Astyanax mexicanus: one gene and its partner. The protein of the gene in region 2 interacts with the protein of the main gene of each other region in a biochemical or structural test. Links are inferred from orthologs where the notes say so. Each region holds a gene or a part of one and is shown on either strand. Other genes may lie near its edges.

Evidence for each region.
Region 1: of the proteins of dok1b (region 2) and tec, one has a biochemical effect on the other in vitro, tested with the Homo sapiens proteins (2 studies listed by BioGRID, with this or other methods). The link is inferred for Astyanax mexicanus from reciprocal best matches to the Homo sapiens genes DOK1 and TEC.

Annotation. Positions count from the first base shown.
Region 1 is NC_064420.1:25,652,841-25,660,944, forward strand, and holds the start of tec (tyrosine-protein kinase Tec), read left to right. Parts: upstream 1-4,661; 5' UTR 4,662-5,550; intron 5,551-8,104.
Region 2 is NC_064415.1:19,729,343-19,737,822, forward strand, and holds the start of dok1b (docking protein 1b), read right to left. Parts: upstream 3,812-8,480; 5' UTR 3,715-3,811; coding exon 3,658-3,714; intron 1-3,657. UniProt on the Homo sapiens protein: DOK proteins are enzymatically inert adaptor or scaffolding proteins. They provide a docking platform for the assembly of multimolecular signaling complexes. DOK1 appears to be a negative regulator of the insulin signaling pathway.

The sequences.
Region 1 (8,104 bases), on a different chromosome or scaffold from region 2:
ACAAGGACAGGAAATGGGAAACACCTGGGACCTAACAAGGGGGTGGAGCTACAAACGAACTGGTGAGCAACAGGGGCGGAGGCAAGGGATAAACACAGGGCACAAGCAGAGGAAGGTAAATAAACACAGAGACAGACTAGAGGGAACCAAAACAGGAAAAGAACCTGACAGTCAGGCACGCCGCACAGGTTATACACATGGACAAAATTGTTGGTACCCCTCGGTTACGAAAATAAAACCCACAATCGTCACAGAAATAACTTGAAATAATAATAAATAAAAAAATCTATGAAAATGAACAAATACAAATCCGACATTGATTTTGAACCGAAATGTAAACTCATTAAACCGGCCAGAACAAAAATGATGGTACCCCTGAAAATAATATATACCTTTTTGTTTGTCGACCCCGGTTCCTCCTTTTCCCAAAGAACCAAAGGAACCTAAGACTGAATTTCTGGTTATAAAAACTGAACTTCTGGTTATACCCGTGAAACTCAGAAAAATTTGACTGTTTCTAATGCAACAGGCCACCCAACTCCTGGTACAAGCAGTGGTCATCTCACGCCTCGACTACTGCAATGCCCTACTAACTGGCCTCCCGGCCTGTGTAGTAAAAACACTCCAGATGATTCAGAATGCAGCAGCACGTCTGGTCTTCAACCAGCCAAAACGGGCACATGTCACTCTGCTGCTCACTGAGCTCCATTGGCTACCAGTTGCTGCTCGTATCAAATTCAAAGCTCTTACAATCACCTACAAGGTGATGACAGAACAGCTCCTTCCTACCTGCACTGATCACTCCTGAAGGCTTACGCTACCTCCTGGCCGCTGCGCTCCTCCAATGAACGCTCTGCTCTGCCAAACATTCACACAAAGCAATCCAGACTGTTCTCATACAGAGTTCCCCAATGGTGGAACAAACTACCTTCCACTACCAGATCAGGAGAATCTCTCGCTTTCTTTAAGAAACTCCTGAAGACAGAGCTCTTCAAAGAGCACTTAATCTCTTAACACCTCTAACAAACTAACTACTTCTAACCTCATTTCCTTCTTCCCTTCCTTCACTCCTCTATCCCATTATTTTTCTTTGATCTCCTTTAGGCCCTATCTAAAGATGTTTTTTCCTTTAACTTCTATTACTTTGGCAATTCACTATTGTAATTCGCTTTGGACAAAAGCGTCTGCCAAATGTAATGTAATGTCCACAACCACCTTATACAGTCCCCTTTTAGTTCTGGGAAGCTGTTGATTTTGTTTCCTCTTCTCCCGGTTTATAAGGGGCGGCCAGGCTTCTCTGGACAGCTTTGTTTAGTTACCCCTCGCTTGCGCTCGGCGCAAGTTTGTTTCTGCCCTTTTTAACAGTTCTCGCGCTCTACGCGATTCCTTTTGCGCCTCTTCTCGGGTCTCCATCGGTTTACGGGTTTTTGTTTTCTGCCAGTTTTCCAGTTTTTGTTTTCCAAATGGGTTGGGTTCCTGTCAAGTTTTTACCTGCTTCATATTCTGCTCCTCTGCACTTGGGTTCTACAACCTTCTAGCCTAGCTAGTTCTTCTGCTGTCCATCTTTGCTTTCTAAAGCAGGCTGCTGGTAGTAGGCGGTCAGTCAAAAAGCTTGGAGATCAGCCAATAGCATTGCGCTGAGAGAGATGACGCTGACTCCGCCCCCAACTGTCAAAACCATAGACGTAATATACATATATACATGTTGCATATTTCAAAGTATTTCAGCATGAAAGCACGTACTTTTAAGCACGTACTTTTAATGTATGACAGCGTCCTGTATCATATCTACATCTTTGCTGTTTGTGACAAACCAAACTGCGTAAAAATCGCTTAAAAGTTGTGATTAATATAGCTGTATGAAACACCTTCCTCAGTACAAATTAACGCACTTGAGGTGCATGGGAGACCCAATCAATATGGCCGCAGGCATTGCACATAGTGTGCGAGGACAACTGTGAATAATACAAGGAAAAAAACATTGAAAAGTAGAAAAATTAAGCTTAAGAGTGATATTTTTTTTCAGAGAGCATACATTTTTTTGTGCTCACGAGTTTCACAATAACCTGGTGTTTTTGTGCCCCGACTTTTGACATTAATGTGACGCCATAATATCATCTTGATGCTCTCAGAAACAGTAGCTGGACTCTGCAAGGATTGGAACAGGATAGACATGGTGCTAACAGTCTGTCTTTACAGAGTTGGAACAGAATAGCCTTAATGCTAAAAGGCACAGGGTTGGAGCAGAACATCTGCAAATCTAACAGGCAGCAGGACTGTAGCAACATAGCAGTGATGCTCACAGACACAGCAGCTGTAATAGTCCTGTTGGAGCACAACTGCTATAAATCTAACAGCTAACAGGGCTCACCATGATTAAAGCAGAATAACCCTGGTGGTGAAGCAGGTTAGCTGTGATGCTAACAGGTACAGCAGTTGGGAGTGGCTGGAGCAGAAGAGCTGGTGGTAACGTTGTAAAGTGGAAAGAAAATCCAGAAAATTAAGTGCTGTGTACAAAAGTATTCATCCCCCCTGAGTCAATACTTTGTGGAACCATCTTTTGCTGCAAGTATTTTAGGGTTTGTCTCCACCAGCTTTGCACATCTACTGACTGAAATTTTTGCTCATTCTTTCGTTGCAAAACAAGCTCAAGCTCAGTCAGATTAGTTGGAGAGCGTTTGTGAACAGCAGTTTTCAGATCTTGCCACAAGTTCTCAATTGGGTTTAGGTCTGGAATTTGACTGGGCCATTATAACACATGAATATGTTCCAGTTTCAAGTCTTTTGCAGACTCCCAACAGGTTTTCTTCCAGGATTGCCCTGCATTCCTTCATCCATCTTCCTGGCTTCATCCATCTTCCCATCAACTCTGACCAACTTCCCTGTCCCTGCTTAGATTACACACAGGTGGACTCTTTTTAGTTCTTAAAATAACTGAATACCTTTGCACACCACACATTTCAGTTTATTTGTAAAAAAAAATTTTTTAAATCATTCATAATTGTCTTTCCACTTCACACTTGTTAACCACTTCGTGTTGGTCTTTCACATTAAACTCTAATGAAATATATTTATGTTTGTGGTTGTAGTGTGACAAAATATGAAAAAGTTCAAGAGGTATGAATTCCTTTGCAAGTCACTGTATGTGATGTGTATATTGTGTTCCTTGGCAGCAATAAATGTTATGTTGATTTAAACAGCATAATTCACTCATAAAAGGCCAAACCTCACATAGAATAAATCGTTGATAAACTGTTTAACACACAACACTACTGTACTTTTGGAAACTATAACACTATAACACAAAACCTTCAGTCTTAAAAATCAGGGTTCTTTATGTACTTTACTTAGAACCATGACAACCAATTGGAGGGTTCTATGAAAAAAGTATTATACTGTTGTAATATATTGCACAGGACCCTTTTCCAGTACTGTATGACAACTCAAAGAACCATTTGAGGAGTTCAATATAGCATTTTAAACAAGTTCCAAATAGTGTTGTATGTTAAAATCCCTTATTGAGTACTACTAAATAAACCCATTTTAGAGCTTCCTGTATAACACCATTAATACCTAGAACTCTTCATTGGATTTATGCTTTATTCTGATGTAATCAAGCACTGCTTAGTCTGGTGTTGACCTCTTGACCCCCCCTAGGTCTTGTTTAACAAGGAGATTCATTTTAGAGAAGTGTTCTCTACAGGCACAATCTGGTGCTAAAACCTCTCTTCCTATTTTATTCTCTTCCTGTTTACCAGTCTGTAGCCTGTCTGTTGTTCTCATGGTTCACAGGTTTAGCTGTGAACTCAGTTTAATAAATGAAACAAAGTGGTCTGAGCCACTCACACATACTTTGCTTGGATCTACTGATCCTAATTATAAACTGAATTAAATTATATTTTAATTAGTGCTTTTAAAGTAAATTGTATAAGATCAGTACTGAATCTGCAGTGAAATTGACTAAAATAAACAGAATCACAGTGCTGAATGGAATCAGTAGTAAAAGCTACTAAAATATATCAAATCACAAGTGTTGAACCTCATGGAATCGTATGAGTCCTGAACTAAATCATATCAGACAAATATTGAAGATTCAGGGTTGAATGTGAATGAACGCAATCGTATGTACAAAGAAAAAATAAATAATGGCAGATATATAATGAAACTGAATTGAATCAGAAGTCCTGAAGTTGATTGTCTCTTTAGTAAATTGGTAGTAAAAAGAACTAAACCGAATCAAATCATGCTAAAAGTGCTGAAACGGAATTGTGTTTGGTTAATACTGAATATATATATTTTTTTATTTAACTAAACTGAATCAAATCAAGTTTTTAACTGAATCTGAAAACAGTAATGCAATAATATGAATGTAACAAAACTGAATCATATAAAATCCTGAAACGAATCAAATGAGATCATAATGTAATAGTATGAATTTTACTAAACTGAATCAAATCATGTCATCATCATCAAGTCCTGAACTGAATCATATAACGTTAGTAATGGAATAGCAGGAAATTAATGAAAATGAATCAAATTATATGCCTCTTAAATTGAGTTAGATCAATAGTGAATCAAATCATAACAGTGCTAACAGAATAGTAACAGATCTGCACAGAATCACTGAAGTGCAGGACTGAATCCTGTCTTTAACAGTGAATCGGTAGTGAATCTATCTAAACCAAACCTTATTATAGTCATTCATTTGTCTTATCCACTTCCTCATGGAATTGTAGGAGTGCTGAACTGAATCATATCAGACAATATTGAAGATTCAGGTTGAAAGTGAACAAAAGGGTATGAAGAAAGAAAGAAAGGCAGGTATATGATGAAACTAAACTGAATCATAAGTCCTTAAGTCAATTGTTTCTTTAGTAAATTGGTAGTAAACTGAACTGACTAAAATGACTCAAATTACATACATCTTAAACTGAGCTATATTAGATTAGTAGTGAATCATTAGCCACTTTGAAGTGAATCAAATCCTAACAGCGCAAACAGAATTGCAACAGATCTGCACTGAATCACTGAAGTGCCGAGCTGAATCATGTCTTTGAATTGATAGTGAATCTAAACCAAATCTTATTAAAGTCATTCATTTGTCTTTTCCACTTCCTCGTGGAATCGTATGAGTGCTAAACTGAATCATATCAGACATGTATTGAACATTCAGGATTGAATGTGTGTGAACCGTATGAATCATATAAACAAAGAAAAAGAGTGAAAGAAAGAAAGAAAAAAAAGACAGGAACTGCAGAGTCTCACATTTGTTAGTCAAAGCAGAGGCAGCGTGGAGAGACGTCACCGACACACACACACACACACAGACCGCAGGTGGCAGAGACTTCCTGGACAAAAGAATCCGTCAGCACTGAGCTGCGGTCAGTCTTTGTTTCCTGGTCATAGCGAGTGTGTGTGTGCGCGCGCGCGTCTGTGTGTGAGAGAGAGAGTGAAAGAGAGTAAGTGTGTGTGAATGTAACTGAGCTGACAGTTCAGACGGAGCGGACACGGTACTGGACAGTCAGCCCGGCTACCGGACACAGAACACAGGTAAACACGGCTTCATTTCATTCGCGTGTGTACGTGTTTCCGAAGCGCGCGTGTAAAGAAGTGATTGCTCAAAGCTGTGCTTTACACTCACACACTGTCGCAACGCAGCGGAGTTCAGAGTTCAGCGGCTGGAACTCAACGGTGGAAGGACGGTTAGTCTGTAACGGCTCCCGTGACGGTTATAGAACTCAGACACGCGTGCGGGAAACTCACTTTTAGGACGAGTTTAAATGTTTAAATTTTTAAATATTTTGGAATGTTTGACGGTTGGTGTTTTAACGATTTTATAATGTTTAGTTCTATCAGCTCTCTCACTTTATCTGACCAATCAGAGCATAGGCCTTCCAGTGTGTTAAGCGTCAACTTTCACACACTGTAAACCCACAAGTTTGTTTCACAAGAAATTAGATATTTCTTAACATTACTGCTCAGTGTAAGGTTTATCAGTTGGGTGTAAAACGTATTATTTAATTTTTTGTCTGAATGTATTTTGTCCATTTAGCATTATCAGGAAGAAACTGGTTCATATATATATATATATATATATATATATATATATATATAATATATACTTTTCTTCTTTTTAATTTCTGCCTGACCTGGATCTGAATTACAGGAAAAAATAAAATACATCTTACAAAATGTTTTAAGTTTAACATTTTTTCAGTAGGTTGGATTATTATACCATCAGGTTTTTATTATAAAGTATAAAACTTGTAAAAATCAAAAATCTGAATAGAAATCTTTTTTTTTTTCATGTATATCTGATCATGATGAGCAGAAATGGAAAATTTTGATTTTGAAATTTGAAATAATTAAAAACCCAAATTCATCTTTAATATATAGAATGGAAAACATTAAATTATGAAGTTTTACACACAATTTTCTATTTTCAAATTTAGCCTGAAACGTTTGGAAAATCAAACTGATAACCGTCACACTGAACATTACTTAACTATTTTGAGTTAGCTGAACATTTGTGAGCACATATACATTCAAATGGAGATCTTTTGAGTTGAACCAACTTACCAAATTTTTTGCATTATAAGGCACATCAATAAGCATATATTTTCTGGCCTATTTTCATAGATAAGGCGCACTGAATTATAAGGCGTATTATGTGTCACTAGTAAGTGTGACACATAACAGGGGTTATAACAGGGGTGTCGCCATGTTTTCCTTCTAATTCAGGTGGTGCGAGACCTCTAAAGCTAAGCTTAGTTAAGTAAACAAAACTGTAGTTCTTTTAAAATCAAAGAAGCACTGGATGTTAATCTACACCGATTACTCTTTTAAAAAACTGTTTATTTGGGTGAGTAATGGGCTTTTGTTTATTTACATTAAGCTTAGATTTCCAGATTTCCACCAATGCCACCTGACAGAGCTACACTGAGGAACCTTGAGTGTTCCGGTAAGATAGGGTGATATTAGCTAGCGGTTTGTCCCATTAAGCTTTTTTTAACCTGGTAAACATGCAGACTACAGTCCGTTATACTCACCCCTATACGGCAAAAGAGCTAGCACTTAGCACGGTTAGTGGGTAATGCAAATGCTGCTCCAGCAGTGCTAGCCGGGGTTAGGAGCAGGCTACAGGCTGATAATACTCACCTCTGAATGGCAAAAGAGGCTAGTGCTTAGCGCGGTAAGTGGCTAATGCAAATGCGGCTCCAATCTCTGTGCTGAAACTCCTGTATAACACTGTACTTCTGCGGAGTGGCTTTACTGCTCCTTACAACCTGACTGGTAAAATGCATACATAAGGCTCATCGATTTCAAAGGCGCACTGATAATTTTTTTTAAAGCATTTTCTCTTTTAGTGCAAAATATATGGTATAATAAGTTGAGTTTAGTCTATTGCCACTGGCAGCTTCTTTTTTTTACATTACATTACATTACATTTGGCTGACGCTTTTGTCCAAAGCGACTTACAATAGTCAAGTACAAAAGTAATAGAAGTTAAAGGCAAAACATTTTAGATAGGGCTTAAAGGAGGTCTAAGGGAAATAATGGGATATAGGAGTGAAGGAGGGGAAGAATATGAGGTTAGAAGTAGTTAGTGTGTTAGAAATGTTAAGAGAGTAAGTGCTCTTTGAAGAGCTCTGTCTTCAGGAGTTTCTTAAAGATAACGAGAGATTCTCCTGATCTGGTAGTGGAAGGAAGTTTGTTCCACCATTGGGGAACTCTGTATGAGAACAGTATGGATTGCTTTGTGTGGATGTTTATTGGAGGAGCGCAGCGGCCGGGAGGCGAGCATCAACTGGTCGCCAGTGGAGCTCACTGAGCAGCGGGGTGACATGAGCCCGTTTTGGCTGGTTGAAGATCAGACGTGCTGCTGCATTCTGGATCATTTGGAGTGGTTTTACTACGCAGGCCGGGAGGCCAGTTAGTATGGCATTGCAGTAGTCGAGGCTTGAGGTGACGACTGCTTGCACCAGGAGTTGGGTGGCCTGTCAGAAACTGTCTAATTTTTCTGATGTTATAAAGTTCGAAGCGGCAGGATCGAGCAACCGAGGCCACATGGTGCGTGAAGGAGAGCTAGTCATCAACCATAACA
Region 2 (8,480 bases):
CTTTAAATATATTTTTCCTTCTGGCCCCCAACAAAAAAGTTTGGACACCCCTGCTTTAAATCACTTTGGAGAATCAAAAAAGGGACATGTCTTACGTCATTTTAAGTCACTAAAACTCAGCACCACTTATTTAGAGCTAAGATAGGCAAATACACTGACAGCATACAGTAAATAAAAAGTGCTCAGATTATTTGCATTTCTGTGGTGCCATTTTGGTCAATAGTCATTATTGTAAAACTGAAATTTTTATACTGTGTAAATATTACACTGTGTAAATGAACTCTCAATACCGTCAGGCACTTTCAAGTGACTTTCTGAAGATAATTATGTTAGTCAAAGTCGAACAGCAGCTATCAATATATGTTATAATGTCTTATATACTGAGGATGACTGTTAACAGAACTGGGTTCAGCTCAATAGGTGATATCCTACAAGCGACACTGTGAAACTACCCAAACACCTCCAACCCCACCTACACATATGAGCCAACCTTGAAAGCAAACCGCTCCACATTCTGCAGTATTAAAATAATTTTGTCCTGCATGTTCACACTCCTGTCACCTCAGACGCAAAGTCAACTTCCTCTGTCCCAGCTTAGCAGCTAAGCAGGCATTTTTTCTCAGCCTACGTATCGGTATATATCAATTCATTTCAAATCAGCTTTCATTTGTAGAAAACTTTTTTACAATGCACATTGTCATAAAGCAGCTTTATCTGGACCCAGAGTCTAAGGGTGATAGGATGGGACCAAATATAGACTAAATATAGGCCAATGTCCCAAAAACAAAATGGGAACAACACAAACGAAAATTGTTATTTCAAAGAAATATACATTAACATTTTTACATACATTTTTCACAAACAAATAAGGAACCGTTGTTCACTAAAATGCAAAACTGTACCATCTCCACTAGCTAAAAGCAAGAATTAACCATTCCTAAAATCGTCACCGCTCTGAGCCAAATAATATTGCTGTTTACACTCAGTCTGACGTAAATTGGTAAGATAACTCATCATATCAAATAGGGAAACTTACAAATGCAACACACATATGTATTTGATCAGTCTGATATTGAGCAAGGTCTAATAGTGGGTGCCAAATAGATGGCACATTGCATTTCTGAAGTTGTACAGGCATTTTACATTCCCTGACCCACATCAGGAATATATCATATAGAAAGTAATGACTGGTTACTAAGTAAACTGTCCATGCGAACAGAACTCTGGCAGAAATATCATCCACATTGACTGAATTCAGAAGACCCAACACAGGAGGTCAGTGACTGGCCTAAAGCAGAGTCTAGTAAGCAGTTCCAAACTCACAACTGTTCTCTTGCTCATCCAACAAAGCCAATTAATTGCTAAAAAGTTAAAGAAAACAAAAGGCAAAATGTTCCATAAAGAAACACATAAAAAAATAACTTTTAAATTTGATTTTATTTTCTCCTGTCAGGTTTTGAAAATAAAAGCTTGTTGTGTGACAACGTCGATATCCACAGGTCTTCACAGCAGCTATGACTCTTATCTGTTGCCTCAGGGTTACTAATGTGAAATTGTTTGCTCATACTTTTCCTTTGCCAAATAGGGAGAATAGTTTCAAGAGACACATTAAGGAAGCTATAAGAATAGATACTAAGCCTGAAGTAGAGCCACTGGCTATGATTTTAGAGACTTGAGATTTGAGTGTCACATGATTCATGTCAGTGTGAAATACTGGTAAAAGCAAACTGGCTTAACACAGTGTGCTTAGCCTGCATGAACTGAGATGTTTAGGTGATGTAGCATTTTTACACTTTTTATTTGTGCTTCTGGTGAAAAGATAAGGCAACACATTTTCAAACGTTTGTAAATTTAGTGTAAGTGAATTAATAGATTGCAGAGCGTGAGAAAAGAGTTATGTGTGTGTGTCTGTTGGATACAATTTTTTTTGTAGAACTACACCTAAATATCCGACAGTGAAAATAACTGCTTTTCCTGAACGCTGTGTTCGAGCATGCAAGCTTCCTTTTGTAAACAGCAACGTCCAAAACAGAGGGCAGTCGTGCTGGTGGTGTGTGTCTGACTGTGCTGCTCATTCATGTGACTATCTCATGTCACAGGAAAGAGAAGAATGGAGCGAGACCTCATGGTTACAGATATGTGTTATGATTAACTGATATGAGTTCTTGAACTTCTGTTTTTTTTTTTTAATGAGTGGAATTATTCAGTCAAACGTTACACATAAATAGAAGTGTGTAGCAACTTGTTAAATTTACGCAGATACACGTTTTCTAATATGAATTTAATGGATTTGTACTTTTACTTTTGTATTTTTAACAAAATTTTACTTCAAGAAACAGCTTTCAAATTTTTCCCCAACTGATGTTCATTTTAGAACACGGTGCATGAAGTGATTTGCAGGTAGAGATATTCATTGTGTACATTACATTACGTACTGTATAATGATGAATCAATAACCCAAATACTGTGACTAACCTAGCTCTACATTTACTCAGGAATGTTTACTTAGCTATATGTACTCAAGTGTTAATTTTTATAAATTCTTGAGTATTTTTAAATAATGCTACTTTAACAGAAGTACTCTTGTGATTAAATTATTTTACTTGTGTTTAACACATTAGTCGTCAGATTCATGCCAGGTTGTTTGTACTGATTTACAATTTATTTTTTTTATTTAGACCACAAGTGCACCTTATGAACGTCAGCGTCTGTGCTGAGAGATACAGAAATGTACTAATAAAAGTACAGTGCTATAAGTTTCTCAGTACTAATGTAGTGTTTTGGTGCTTGTTTTTAGTAGAGCAGTTTTTTGGGAAGAACTTGGCGATACGATACATACCATATATTGGTGTCAATATACTGTGATACTTTTATATATTCATACACCCTTGCTTTTAGAGATGTAGCTTTATTTACTTGTAAGTGACATCAGATGGATATGAATTTGTCCAACTCTGCTAACTCTGTAAATATCCACCCTTAATAGAAGTGAGTCTGAGACAGTCTGGATGTAAATAACCTCAGACAATGTCCTCGATGTTTACAGCAACACATGGTTCATCTAAGTTCTGGTGCTGTTACATTATTACCACAGTATCTATCTATCTATCTATCTATCTATCTGATCTTACATTATTACCACAGCTCTATAACACTACTGAGAGAGTGAACAAAACTGTGTCTGAGACAATCCTGATGTAAATACTAAATAACTTAAGACAATGTCCTTGGTGTTTGCAGCAACACGCAGTTCACCTCAGTTCCGGTGCTGTTAAATTATTACCACAGCTCTTTAAAATTACTGAGAGAGTGTCTGAGACTATCTAGATGTAAATAACTTAAGACAATGTCTTTGGTGTTTGCAGCAACACGCAGTTTACCTCAGTTCTGGTGCCCTTACATTATTGCCACAGCTCTTTAACTCTATTAAGAGAGTGTGTCTAAGACTATCTAGATGTAAATAACACGCAGTTTAGCTTAGTTCTGGTGAACTTCCATTATTACCACAGTTCTAGTTCAAGTTTACTGAGAGAGTGTGTGGAAGTGTGTCTGAGACTATCTAAGATGTAAATAACCTCAGCCAACGCGGTGTTTGGAGCAGCAGACGGAGAGTGTGGGGGGAGGCTGAAGTCTGGAGGGAAGAACAGAGCAGCTTACCTTGCCGAACTTCTGGTGCTGGACATAAAGTTGCCCCTCTTTGACGAGAGTGTCCATCTTGTAGCGAGTGCTGGAGTCGCTCCTTTGAAATAAAACCCAGACTCTAGTCAACACGCGAGTCCCCCTCCTCTCCTCCTCCTCCCCCCCCCCTCTCTCTCTCTCTCTCTCTCTCACTTCTTCACACTTCCTTCCAAGTACGTCTCGCTGCAGCCTGTAGGAAGGCGGAGTTGGACATCCAACTCCGCCCACATCCAACTCCGCCCACATGTGCTCTTGTACGCCAACCCCCCTACTTTTTTGTTCAAGAAGCACTGTGTGCCACGTGAAATACGCATATAACGCCGATGTTGCGCTAAATTTACGCATATCTTGTGAGTAGTTCCACCACGTAGCCTTGGCTACAGCACAACACATGCTGTAGTGTAATGCACAGATATCACAAAAAATAGGCTATATATACAGTACCAGCCAAAAGTTTGGAAACACTTTCTCATTCATTTTTGGTTTAACATTGTAAATAAAGTAATACATAAGGAATCATGTGAACTTAAAAGTGTATGATTTTATTGTTTTTCTTATATGGCATGCTGCTAACTTGTGGTTTATGAGGCTGGTAACTCATTCTGTGTAACAGAGGGAACTCTTCTTTTTCATCACGTGTGCCATTTCTCCTTTATTTTATACAATAAGCAAATAATTGCATACAACGATTTGCTGTTTCCAAAAGATCAATTGCCTCTGTCCTGTATATCACAATACATTAATCTGTCCCACTCACCAGCAGAGTAAGCCATTATTTCACTGCATTAATCCTTACATTTAAATTTGTTAAACTAGTTGCCAGAGTGTGTAGATTTTATAAATTTATTTTAGACTGGTAAATATCTCCAGAATTATTGATTAGCTATCATAGGAATCATTATTTACTTATTATATAAAGTTAAAACTTACGATATACAGTTTTTGGTTATGTTCCATATGAAATAAAGAGCACATTATCAATCATGGCTTTGCACTGGTAGAGGCTGGTCAAAGGGTGCATCTGATTATTAAAGTGTTTGATTGTTAGATCACACCTGTTCTCTGTACTGTAATGCTCTATACTTCATATTACAGATAGACAGTGCTTCTTATCACCACTCAGCAGGGGGAAGGCTATTTGTGTCATAGGCATAGCTAATATATAATAATGATATTAGAAGTAATTCTGCATCTTCACTGTCAACAGGGTGCTGAAAATATTACAGATGAGAATGACACAGCTGCACTGTATAGCATACAATTTAGGACCACCACAGAGCAGCTATTATGTGGCTTGTTGGTTATTCACAACACTACAGTGACACTGACATAGTGGTGTTAAGAGCTGTGTTGGTATGAGTGGATCCGACAAAGTAGTGCCTCTGGAGAATTTAAACACCTCATTGTCACTACTGGACAGGAAATGCTCCATCAACCAGCATCATGTGGGCAGCGTCCTGTATTCAGCATCAAGTAGGCAGCATCCCATGGGCACTGATGAAGAATTTGCAGATTTGCAACAAACTGTGCAGCAACAGATTTAAAGATTCTGTCTCTGACTTTTCACTCACAATGTAAAGCAGCTGTTGGTAGAAGTGTCTAATAGAGTGAACAGTGTTTTATACCTATTGTATATTATACACCAGTAAACCATTATGCAACTAAAGTGTCCTAGATGCTAATTGGAGCTAAAAAAAGAATAATAGAAGCAGAAACAAGCAGGTGGTAATAATGGTATGCTGGATAGTGTATAACGATAGAGTACAATATATCAAATGCTGTGGTTTCAGAAATTAAAATATATGTATACATAGCTATTTTGTCAATAATAATAATAATAATAATAATAATAATAATAATAATAATGATATCCCTCTCCTGCTTCTCCTCTCCCAATTTTGTATGGCTGACAGTAGTTCCCAGGGAAATTAACTCCATTTACAAACACTTTGTCCAAGCTAATACAATATCTTTATTGGCATTTATTGGCACACTAGCCTTTAAAATGTTTGGTTACATGCTTTGGTCAAACAAATACAGAAGTCTTTATTTAAAAATGCAACACCCAGCCACTCACACTCAGCCACTCACACACCCAGCCACTCACACACCCAGCCATTCATGAAGCTGGCTGCAGAATCCAGGGTGCTCGTTTTCGCTGTAAAATGCCACAAGCTCCCCTCGTCTCCCATGCCCAACGTAGCCTGTAATATAAGTAAAAACACACACTTTCACAAAGTAACAATCTCCCAAGCCCCAATACCTTAAATATATTGACTTACCAATTTCTGACCTCAGGAAAAAATTATCAAAATTTATTTAGAACAAACATACCCAGTATGTAGTCTTTATAAGTTTCTTGACAGTTCTGGCAGCACTGCAGTTCGTACATCCTGCGAAACTCGTCTTTACATGCAGCACTGTGATGTTTTCATGGCACTACACCTGTAGGTTTAAAAAAATCAAGAATTTTAAAATGATTTCAAAATCAGTGAGTGTAATTCCTTTTCTAAGGGAAAACAAACATCTTAACTGTACTGAAATATCATGCTTACTGTCAAGCCACTCGAAATGTGCCCGGGCCCGGAATGATTGTTGTCCAAACAATGTCCCGGAAGAGACGACAAACCAGTGACAGCTTTAAAAAAGCTTTGTCACCCTCATCCAGAACTGTATCTATGAGAATAAGGGGCATCTGTGAAAAACATTATAGAAGCATGTAGATTTTGATTCATGAAAATTATAGTAATTGAAAAAAATGACCAGATAACATTCTAAGGCTGCAACCAATTACTATTTTGGTATTCTATTAATCTGAGTTGGCACTTATTATTTCAATCATATCCCCAATCTCTGATTACTGTAGGAATGGCTAGCATTTTTGCCTGAAGACTGTAGTCAGCCTCATTCTGTTGACTAATCTCTGCCTTAACGTAACAAAACAGCTCTCTGCTTTTCTATCCCTTTAAAATGATAGCACTCCAATAGCTTATGGGCTTCAAATGTCCTTGAAATGACTAGTCAACACTAGGTCAAGTTGAAATTTCAAATAATGTCAACTTATCTTTTCAGCCCAATTCAGACTTTTGAAAACAAACCACAACAGTAAAACATTTTAAATGGCCCAGTTAAATTAACCCGAAATAAAAAAAAAACACACATCCACACCCTCACACCTGTTCAAAGGAGACGTTGCCCATTCTATCTCCTTCATCAGTCACACGTTCAACACGCTGAACTTTCCTGAGGGAAAATATAATAATTAATATAATTAATACCATGCACAGAGGAAGCAAGACCAGAACTGGGAGAAGGTGTATCAGGAGTAGCTGGCAGAGGGGGAGCTGGACGTGCATCAGAAGTAGCAACAGTCTGTGGATTAAACACTTCTGCTATAATGGTCTTGGTTGCACTGCTGCACAGAGATACATGATGTCTGAACTGGTCTTTGCATAGTATTGTATGGCTGCAATAGACACAATAAAAGTGTGCTGTAGGTGTGCAGTTTAGAGATGAAGGAAACTGTAAGCAGGGGCATTTGAAAACACCACACTGGCCAAACCGTGAAGGGTCAGGAGTGGCCTGGACATGTGTTGGATGCTGTAAAACAGAAAGCAACAAAACACAACATGAGCTTACAATTACTATATCGGTGCACATTAATTGTAACTACATTCAGTACAAAGGTAATAAATGTGCATCGACTTAACCCTCCTGTTACGTTACGGGTCAAATTGATCCATTTAGAAAGATAGTAAAAGTATTTTTTCTGTATGAAACGTCTTCAGCTTGCCTTTATTTGTATAATTAACATATAACATGAAAATGGTTAATTTCATATTTGCAACAACCCCCTGCAAAAACTAAAACGAAATTGTAATGTTATGTTTCATTTATATGTAAAAATATTGTGTTGGTCGTTTAAAAGTAACAAAGTAGTAAAACAAAAAAAAAAAGTAAGATTTTTTAAAATGGAAAAACAAGTGAATTATCCTAATTGAACTATTACCTCTATTGTACACTATTGTACTAAATGTTGATAGAACAATCAGCAATGGAGTTAGTTATTAAATATTTACTCTTCTGGTTAGGATTATTTTGGTTTCAGAAATATTTTGGATAATTAAAAATGAACCAGGTCAAATTAACCCGGGAATACCATTGCTATTCCTGACAAATTAAATAGGAGGATTAAGCATTGATATCTTCAAATATTTATTTGTATGACTAAGACTTTGAACCAATTTTAGTTAGCTAGATTATCTTGCTATCTTGTTAGCCAATTAACTTCTTGTATAGACAGTTTAAACAGTTTTTTAGGTTAGCTGACTATGACCCCTAGCTATGCCTAAAACAAAACTGATGCCTAGCTCACTACTAGCTATGAGAGTTTATCTGTGATACCATTAATTGGTAGCATTTTAGCCCATAAAACAGAAGGTAAGATAACTAAAGTTTGAATTAGACAAGACTGGGTGCAATTCTGCATTAGAATCCATCAAAAAAAAAACGGCAATATGATTAGAAGCAAACAAACCACATGGTACACGCGCCGATGTAGAACCTTCATGTGCGTATCAACGACTCACCGTTTATTCATAAAATATAATATAGAAAAACAAGAGGACATTATAAAAATAGCTCTGTTAACTTAAAAAATAACTCAATATTTGTACTTACCGCCATAACCGGAGATATAAATCAGATAGATGCTTTAGCTGCTTTCTCGGCTACAATTCCTGTTTACCTGGAGTAAATGTAGGCGTTCGTGACGGACGTAAGGTGGGTGTTGCTTTAGACGT